2 linked regions of the Xenopus tropicalis genome follow. The protein of the gene in region 1 purifies or fractionates together with the protein of each later gene. This does not show direct contact. Links are inferred from orthologs where the notes say so. Each region holds a gene or a part of one and is shown in the gene's direction. Other genes may lie near its edges.

Region 1 (4,463 bases):
AAATAACATTCCACCTTCATGTAAGTGCAAATGTTAATTTGGAAAAAAAAAAAAACACTTACCAGGTCACAATTTTAGAATGGATGCAAGAAGAGTTACCCTGTGTGAAGGGAAATTGGATCCCTCTGTATATACATATGCAGTTGGGTTGCTACTTTGTCTGATTTGTGTTTTGTAGTATAGTATTTTTCCCCCTACATTGATACATACTTTAATTCACATTCTGGTAATCTCTCCTCACCCCCAGGCTGAAGCTTGCAAATCTATAGAGTATGCCATGAAAAAGTGTCCCAATGGTATGTATGCTGAAATAAAGTATGATGGTGAAAGAGTCCAAGTACATAAGAATGGAGATCACTTCAGCTACTTCAGCCGCAGTCTGAAGCCAGTGCTGCCCCATAAGGTCATTTTTTTTATAATGTACTATTTGTATCATTTGTGTTTAGCAACCTTATTTGTTGTGTTTAGATACATGGTTACAACTTTTTTTTTTTTTTTACAGGTTGCTCATTTTAAGGATTTTATACCTAAAGCATTTCCAGGAGGAAACAGTATGATCCTGGATGCAGAAGTTCTTCTTATAGATACCAATACTGGCAAGCCACTTCCATTTGGCACATTAGGTGTTCATAAGGTATATATGATTTTTAATGTCTAATGTCTTTAAGGAACCAGTTGATCTAGACTAGAGTATAAACACTTCAGATTTTTTGCACTGGGTTCTGATTATAACCTGGCATTTCTAAGGCTTTGCAGCTGCAGGAATATAGATACATTTTCTTTGTGTTCCTATTTTACCTGGAATAATATATTTTAATTTAATTTCCTTCACAGAAAGCTGCTTTCAAAGATGCCAATGTGTGCTTGTTTGTTTTCGATTGCATTTACTTCAATGGAGTGAGCTTAATGGATCGGTGAGCATATTCAGATCAAGACTGTATTTTATAAAATGAAAGATGTTTCTTTGAGCTGCTTACCAATAACCACTTTTTGCAGGCCACTTAGTGAGCGCCGAAAGTTTATGCGGGATAACATGGTTGAAATCCCTAATCACATTCTGTTCTCTGAGATGAAACATGTCACAGTAAGTACTGTCACAGGCATAAAACCTTGCTCAAATCCTTGATCAAACTGTAATTCATTCCTGGTTGTACCTGCAACCTATTCCACATCTGCTCGTCCTTTAGTATTTTTTGTTATTGTAACTAAAACCTGTTTATATTGCAGAAAGCTTCTGATCTGGCTGACATGATCACCCGTGTTATCCGTGAGGGATTGGAGGGTCTGGTATTAAAGGACTTAAAGGTAATTTAAGTTAGATAAAGAGCATCTTCCTAATTGCATCTATATGAGATTCCGCAGTCAATTTTTTCTTGTTCACACCAGAGTAATTATGAGCCAGGGAAACGTCATTGGCTTAAAGTAAAGAAGGATTACTTGAATGAAGGTGCAATGGCAGACACCGCTGACTTGGCAGTTTTGGGAGCTTATTATGGAAAGGGAGCAAATGGTAAATGTAGCTGCCCTTATTTTTTCAAAAGTAAATTTTATCTATTATAAATAACTTTTTGGCTATATTCAGCACAGTACTTTAAGGAGAAATAATTCAAGGTTTTTATTTAATTATTAAACATTTTATAGGGGGTATAATGTCCATCTTTCTCATGGGTTGCTATGATCCTGAAAGTCAGAAGTGGTGCACTGTGACAAAATGTTCAAGTGGTTATGATGATGCTACTCTGCAACGCCTTCAGAAGGAGCTTAACATGGTCAAAATCAGCAAGGTTAGTCTTGTCTTGTGGATGATTGCATTGCGAGTCTGATTTAATTTTCCCTGCTTCGGGTTTTTTTTTTCCTTCTTAAGCCTTATACTCTGTAATGAAAAGGTGGGAATAAAAGGGCATTGATGACTGTGTTGTATGGCACCATTATGACCCTGAAAATAAATCAGGACTGTATGGTATAAGCTTTATTCATTGTGTATGGGTAATAAGCACACTTTTTTTCTGCCTGCAGTTAGATGGTGCCTCTATACAAGGCACATTATCTACACTAGGTGCTACTACAACCCCCAATTTTATTGAATGGCCTAAGTTATATATTTTTTTTTTAGTTTGCCATTTACTCTCTTATACTCTCAGTATGCAGTATATTATTATTATTATATATATTATACTGTCCTGTTTTGGAGCCCTTGCTTCCTGTTGATAATATCTGGGATAGAACTAGATCTGTGATAAACATTGCAACCAATGACTTCTAATTCAAACTATTGATAAAATGGTATATGACCCGTCAAAGAAAACAAAAAATAGACTTAACTTCCTCTCTCTGTTGTAGTATATGCTCATATACTGACTCTTTGATACATAACTGGTGGTTTTGTCCCATAGCTAAAGAATTCTGGATAAAAATTATTAATCTTTTAAAACGGATCTTAATTTACAATACAATATTTCAAATTCACCTCTTCATCAAATTTTTAAATTAGCCATTAAAGGCTTAAACAAGGCAGGTAATATTCTCTAAAGACATGTTTTTTTCTGTGACCAAATGGACTTTTGGCCTCACTTTGGCTTAGGGATAGCCTTGAGTTTAAGCTTGGTTTAACCAAAATCCAAAAGATTCACTATGTAAAAGATGACTGGATCTGTAGAGGACACTATAGCTACATTTATGGATTCTATATTCTGAGCGCTTATGGTAATTCAGCATTTTTGTTGTTGTTGCCCCATAAAGGATTCTTTTAGTTTCTTCTTTTCCCTAATATGTTTTTAATGTGATGCACTATGCATATGGAAATATGAAAAATGTATTTAGTATTTTTCATTTATCTTTATATCTATATTTTTAAAAGCATAACTTATGTGGAAAACGTATATACAATGTAAAACCATGTACATGATGTGATGCCTTCCTTTCTTTTGTTAACAGGATCCATCTAAGATTCCATCATGGCTTAAAATCAACAAGAACTATTTCCCAGATTTCATTATACATGATCCCAAGGTAGTATTTGCAAGGGGTAAAATAATTAAACAGCTTTGTAGCTGAATATTCTGTTGCAATTTTAAATTTCACCTTTAAGTTATCTTTTACTGTGTTGTACTTTTGAAACTTTTTAATTAGCCTTCATTTTTTTTATTGTTTTTGAATGATTTTCTGCCTGCTGCCTCTTTCCAGCTTTTCAGTGTCTGTTCAATGAAAGTTAATTTAAAGGTGAACTACTGCCTAAATGGTTTTGTGGTAATTGTGACAATGTCAGTTTGGTAGCTCGGTGAGCCATTAAATGTATTCACTCACTATGCTTAAACATTCTGTGGAGATGAGATGGCAAGTAGGTGTCCTAATATTTGACCAGTCTGCCCACTGCAGAGTCCTATCTAATTATATCATGAATTAATTGTGTGCAGCAAACTAGCTCATATGCATCTTTTAGCCTTATGAATGTCTATTTTTAACCTGGAAAGCAAACTTATTGATACCTACTATGTATAGCAGCTGTAATTTTTCATAGGTTCTCCTGCAAATCAGCATTCTTTAATATATTCGTGCATGAGACAAGATACTAAACTCATTCCTGATTTTTCACCATAGAAAGCTCCCATTTGGGAAATTACAGGTGCAGAGTACTCAAAGGCAGAGGCTCATACAGCTGCTGGGTTATCCATTCGCTTCCCACGCTGCACACGTTTCCGTGATGATAAGGACTGGAAAACAGCCACTACACTCCAACAGCTAAAGGTACGAATGCGTGGCAACCTTTTTGCTATTCCAAAGCACTGAACGCCATCAGCTGGACACGACAATTCTGGTGCACAAAAGATTGCAATGCCCTCATTATTAGCAAACTGTAGTTATTAAAATAATATGTAATAATGGAGTTCTATAAATGTGCTTTACTTCACCCTGAGTTAGTTGGCTATGTTCACTGCTGACCCTGGTTTATGGCCTGGCATATATTAAAGTGCATTTGTATACAATGTGTCTTTTTTTTTTTTTTTTTTTTTTTTTTTTTTCAACTGCAGGAACTTTATCGTCTCTCAAAAGAAAAATCTGACTTTAACATCACTGCTACATCCTCTCAGGATGAGGATGGTTCATCTGAAAGCAGTAGTCGAGAGAATGAAGGAAACTCCAGGCAAACTGCATCAGGCAGCATGGTTAAGAAATCGAAAAATGCGCCTTCCAAATCTCCTGGAAAGGACAAAACCAGTGAAAGTAAGATGTCATGACAAATCTATGTTCTCCTGTCCTTGTCTGTGCAGCCATGTAAAAGGGCTGCCATTTTGACAAATAGTTATTTAGTTTAGGAGTCATTAACCTCCCCCAGTCTTTGGATTATTGCTTTATTTTTTTTTAAAGATGCATTTTATTATTTTATATATAACCTAAAAAACATATCGGATAAAATAATACAATAGAGTAATTTGATTCAAGGTGACATCATACTGCGGGGGGCA
Region 2 (5,003 bases), on another chromosome or scaffold:
TACATAGCAGATAACTAGTTGATAAGCCCCATATAATGAGGGTTTATCTGTTATCTGCTAAGTAACCTGTGCCTTTTCTCCTTTGAATGGCTGCCCCCATGGCTACACAGCAGCTTACTTATATAAATTATAGTAGTCTTTCTGAGGCAAACACACCAGTTGTACCAATGCAGGGCAACAGTACATTATATTGTAATTACTTTTATACACTTTCATTTTTTGGTGTTACTGTTCCTTTAATGACCCCTTGTCTGTGTCTGCCAAGCTGCTTTACATTAAAGTAACAGTAACATCAAAAAATGAAAGGCTACTCTAGTTTATATAAACAAAGCTGCTGTGTAGCCATGGGGGCAGCCATTCAAAGAAGAAAAGGCACAGGTTACATAGCAGATAACCGATAAGCTCTGTAAAATATAATGGAGCATTATTTGTTATCTGCTAAGTACCCTGTGCCTTTTTCCCCCCAATCTGAATGGCTGCCCCCATGGCTACACAGCAGCTTATTTATATAAACTATAGTAGGAAATCTGTAGCAAACATGCCAGTTTTACCAGTGCAAGGCAACAGTACATTTTAATTACTTTAAAAGGCTAACATTTTTTGGCATTACTGTTCCTTTAAGTAAATGTGTAAATTGTATAATGAATATGTGGAATAGGTAACAGTCTCTCTGCAACATGTAGGAAGTTGAATTGCATTGATCATCATAAATAATCATAAGTTAAATAATCATAATCATAAATAAAAGAAAAAAATAAACCAACAAAATATGACACCAGCACTACTGTTAAACTACAGAAATCCTGGTAATACACTTTGGGACAACGTGCATAGAAATAGTTAATTCTCACAAAGTGGTCAGACTTCTGAAGGATGCCATGGGTTTTGTACCGCTAAAACCTATGCATTATGATGTATTTCATGTGTGGATACACTTATGCAATTCTCTTAGCAACACAATTAGAGGTGGGTCACTTTTCAGGCATTCATTGCCTAGAAACACTAAAACCCGGTATTGATCCAAAACTGAGCCCCAGGGAGCCTTCAATCAGGAGAAAAGAGCAATGAAACACTGACCCCAGTCAAATGACCAACACTGCCAAGTCACGTGACAAGAGAATAGCCAACATCAGGCACCTAGCTCAGTACCTCCTCGCCGACCAAAGACGAACCCACATAACCTCGGACCGACAAATGTGATATCATAACCCAAAGGAATTTAAAAAAATCATAGCCAGGCGTACTATTCATTAGGGAAAAACGTTAGAGTTCAATTCTAACCTGCAAAAAATATAGTCAATAACCGCTTACATCCAAAACTCGCTCATATAAAAGCAACGACTACGTTTGAGACAGAAAACACGGCACGTGTTCCATTTAGCTGGGATAAAAAAAACAACAAAATCAACAATAAATAAATGTATTAATGCCTTCATACCCACGATAATGCACTGTATATTCAAGGTGGCTAGCGGTCTTCTCCGTCTAACAGCTTCTAGAAGGATCGAGGGAACAAGAGTCACATCCGGGAATCTTATGTAAAAGGAAAGAGAAGGGGGTGGTGAGACCACGATGACGCCTAGAGTCCGGAACCGGCAAATACTCAGGCTCCAATCCAACTGCGCGTTAGTGAGGGCGGGAACGTGCTGCCAATCGTGCCTGATGCGGTTCACTGCAGCACGCCTTGCGTTCCAACCGCTACGTGGCACTGAAATCAGTTGAATTGATTGACGACCACGTGAATTCTAAGAATTGGTATGGTTAAACACCACGAAAAACGCCTAATGATTTTTTTTACACTCACATACGTGGTGTTTTATCAGCCTTTTAAAATACGTGTCTGTCATATTAATGGCCGACAGAGATTTGCGTCCACTTGTATTCCGTAGGTCATAGTATATGCAGGCTCCGCCTTGTAGTGTATAGCTGTTGATGTTTCGTGTGTACCCACGCTAGGTAAGATTGTACATACATATATTTATACAAATTTGCGTCTTTGGAATTGTCTTAAGGGACAGCTTCCCTACCGAATAGCTGCAAGGCTTCACAGAAACGTGATAACTTTACAACATATAGCCATGCCGTTTAAAGAGCGAAGTTGTCATCTCATCAGAAGGGATGCTGCTTCTTTGTGACTGCAATAGACAATTCCAAGTTGCCCAGGGTCCAATATTGTAATCAGAAAACATGGGTCAAAGGCAATTTTTCATTACAAACAAGTACATTTATTACATGCCGAATACCCATGCTTTAAGCTTATCATATGAGCAGGACTACAAGGAGAAAACCAAGTGGAAATTGGTGGGCATAATTTACGGTTAATAGGGCTTGCAGGACATGAGTACAAGCAGCCAGCCTTGTATGTTGGTTGTCAACAATGGTTCTGTGGTTCTTGCTCCCTTTAAAAAGTTTATTGTAAGGTGCATTCATACATGGTTATCATAGCATTTCATCAGCCTTTCTATTCCCTTTATCAGCTTGTTCCCTCTTCTTTGAACTCTATCAATAAGGCTCTAGAGACCAAAACTGCTGCATATTTAAAGGAACAGTAACACCAAAAAATGAAAGTGTATAAAAGTAACTAAAATATAATGTGCTGCTGCCCTGCACTGGTAAAAGTTGTGTGTTTACTTCAGAAAGTCTACTATAATTTATATAAATAAGCTGCTATGCAGCTATGGAGGCAGCCATTCAAAGGAGAAAAGGCACAGGCACATAGCAGATAACAGATAAAACACTATTGTACTCTACAGAACTTATCTGTTATCTGCTATGTAACCTGTGCTTTTTCTCCCAGCTTGAATGGCTGCCCCCGTGGCTACACAGCAGCTTATTATATAAATTATAGTAGTGTTACTGTAGCAAACACACAACTTTTACCAATGCAGGGCAACAGTGCATTATATTTTTATTACTTTAAAGCTCTTTCATTTTTTGGAGTTACTGTTCCTTTAAGGCCCTACTGGTGCCTTAAAGTGGACATGTCACACAGACATAAAAAGCTGTATAATAAAAGCCCCTTTCAAATTAAACATGTAACCCAAAGTCATTTTTTTATTAACACATCTATACCCATTATACAAGCAAGTCCCAGCTGTCAATTAAATATTTCCTGACCGCCTCTATGCCTAAGGCATAGAGGTGGGGCAGACAGTTAATTTCACTTTCAATTCAGAACTTCTTAGATGTTGCTGCTCTCCTCACATTCCCCCTCCCTCCTCACCATCTAATTTTGTAACCAGTGCATGTACATGGGTATCGGGTCCCCCCATACTGGCACAGAAACAAGATTTTGGCAGGATGCACAGCTTGCTTTAATAACAGTGTCCACAAAATGGAGCTTGCCTGTTTTCTGCAATGGTGAATTCCAAGGCTGAAGGAAATAGGTTTCAAAAAATGTATATAGTGTAATTGAAGTTTATTTTGCTTGACAAACACAATAGAAAACAATTTGTAATTATTTCTTAGGGTGACAGGTCCCCTTTAAAAAGAGGGAGAGTATCATGCAAATCTATACCCCTTTTTAATATAGCTCAAAATCTTCCCCCTACCATTTAACCCTTCCGAATGCTAATTAGCATATATGAATTTATGCTAATTCGGTTCGGCCGGGACTGTGGATTCTGCCAAAACTGAATCCTTCAAAAAAAAAAAAAAAGGCTATATTCGGCCAGAATCCTGAACGGAATCCAGGATTCAGTGCATCCCTAGTCATTTGCAAACACTGATAAATTTCTTTCAATACCCACCCCAAGTTATTAATGAATAAATAAAAAAGGACCCAATACAGAACCCTGTGGAGAACCCTACTTCATTCAGAGAATGTACGATTTACAACCATCCCCTGTACACAATTCTTTATTTCTGCTAAAACAATTAAGCAAGAAATTCAGGGAATTTTGAGTCAAATTTAAAGATGTTGTTTACCTTTAAATTTTCTTTTAATATGACATAGACAATGATATTTTAAGACAGTTTGCAGTTGGTTTTTATTTTTTTTGTGGTTTTTCAGTTATTTTTTGTTCCTCGGCTCTCCAGTTTGGAATTTCAGCAGCTGTCTGGTTGCTAGAGCCTTGTTTACCTTAGCAACCAGGCAGTGGTTTGTGAGACTGGAGAGGGACTGAAGAGAAAGATAAGTAATACAAAGAAACAATAACAATAAAATGGTAACCTCAGAAATCAATACTGGTTTAGGGCTGTGTCACACGGGGAGACTAGTCGCCCTCGACTAATCTCCCCAAAATGCCATCCCTCCGGTCGGTGAAAATGTAAATTGCCGGTGGGATGGCATAAATGCCTTTAAGAAAAATTATAAATAGCATGCAAAGACAGTGTTACGGTAGATGTAAATAAGGTTTAATTTCTGGTGTCAGTATCTCTTTAAAGGTGAACCATGCCTTTAAGATCTCTGTTTTGTTCTCTTGCTACAGGTATCGGACCCCTTATCCGGAAACCCGTTATCCAGAAAGCTCCGAATTACGGAATGCCCGTCTCCCATAGACTCCATTTTAATCAAATAATTCAGAATTTTAAAACTGATTTCCTTTTTCTATGTAGAAATAAAACAGAACCTTGTAATTGATTCCAACTAAGATATAATTAATCCTTACTGGATGCAAAACAATCCTATTGGGTTTAATTCATGTTTTATTGATTTTTTTTAGTAGACTTAAGGCACAGAGATCCAAATTACGGAAAGACCCCTTATGCGGAATACCCTTGGTCCCGAGCATTCTGGATAATGGGTCCTATACCTGTACTATATGCTGGAACACGAGCTACAAATATATCAAATCTGCCCCTTTGACTCACCTTACCAAAATTAGTCTATGAAGATTTTCATTCATCCAGGTCATGGTATATCTAGTATAAATAAATTTAAAGCTACTGGACTTGTTTGGTAATCATTGAAGACGTTTCACTACTCATCCGAGCAGCTTCTTCAGTTCAACTGACTCGTATGGGAAGTCCTCAGCATATATACTCTTCCACTAATCCAATCA

The links. Proteins that work in one complex are often made in the same cells at the same time.
Region 2: the proteins of lig3 (region 1) and aptx purify together in Homo sapiens (affinity purification with mass spectrometry; 3 studies listed by BioGRID and IntAct, with this or other methods). This does not show direct contact. The link is inferred for Xenopus tropicalis from reciprocal best matches to the Homo sapiens genes LIG3 and APTX.

What each region holds. Positions count from the first base shown.
Region 1 is NC_030686.2:27,248,597-27,253,059, reverse strand, and holds part of lig3 (DNA ligase 3), read left to right. Parts: intron 1-247; coding exon 248-403; intron 404-502; coding exon 503-634; intron 635-834; coding exon 835-914; intron 915-996; coding exon 997-1,084; intron 1,085-1,227; coding exon 1,228-1,305; intron 1,306-1,386; coding exon 1,387-1,510; intron 1,511-1,641; coding exon 1,642-1,784; intron 1,785-2,934; coding exon 2,935-3,009; intron 3,010-3,597; coding exon 3,598-3,744; intron 3,745-4,028; coding exon 4,029-4,221; intron 4,222-4,463. UniProt on the Homo sapiens protein: Isoform 3 functions as a heterodimer with DNA-repair protein XRCC1 in the nucleus and can correct defective DNA strand-break repair and sister chromatid exchange following treatment with ionizing radiation and alkylating agents.
Region 2 is NC_030677.2:94,453,210-94,458,212, forward strand, and holds the start of aptx (aprataxin), read left to right. Parts: upstream 1-1,680; 5' UTR 1,681-1,755; intron 1,756-1,764; exon of another isoform or gene 1,765-1,956; intron 1,957-5,003. UniProt on the Homo sapiens protein: DNA-binding protein involved in single-strand DNA break repair, double-strand DNA break repair and base excision repair.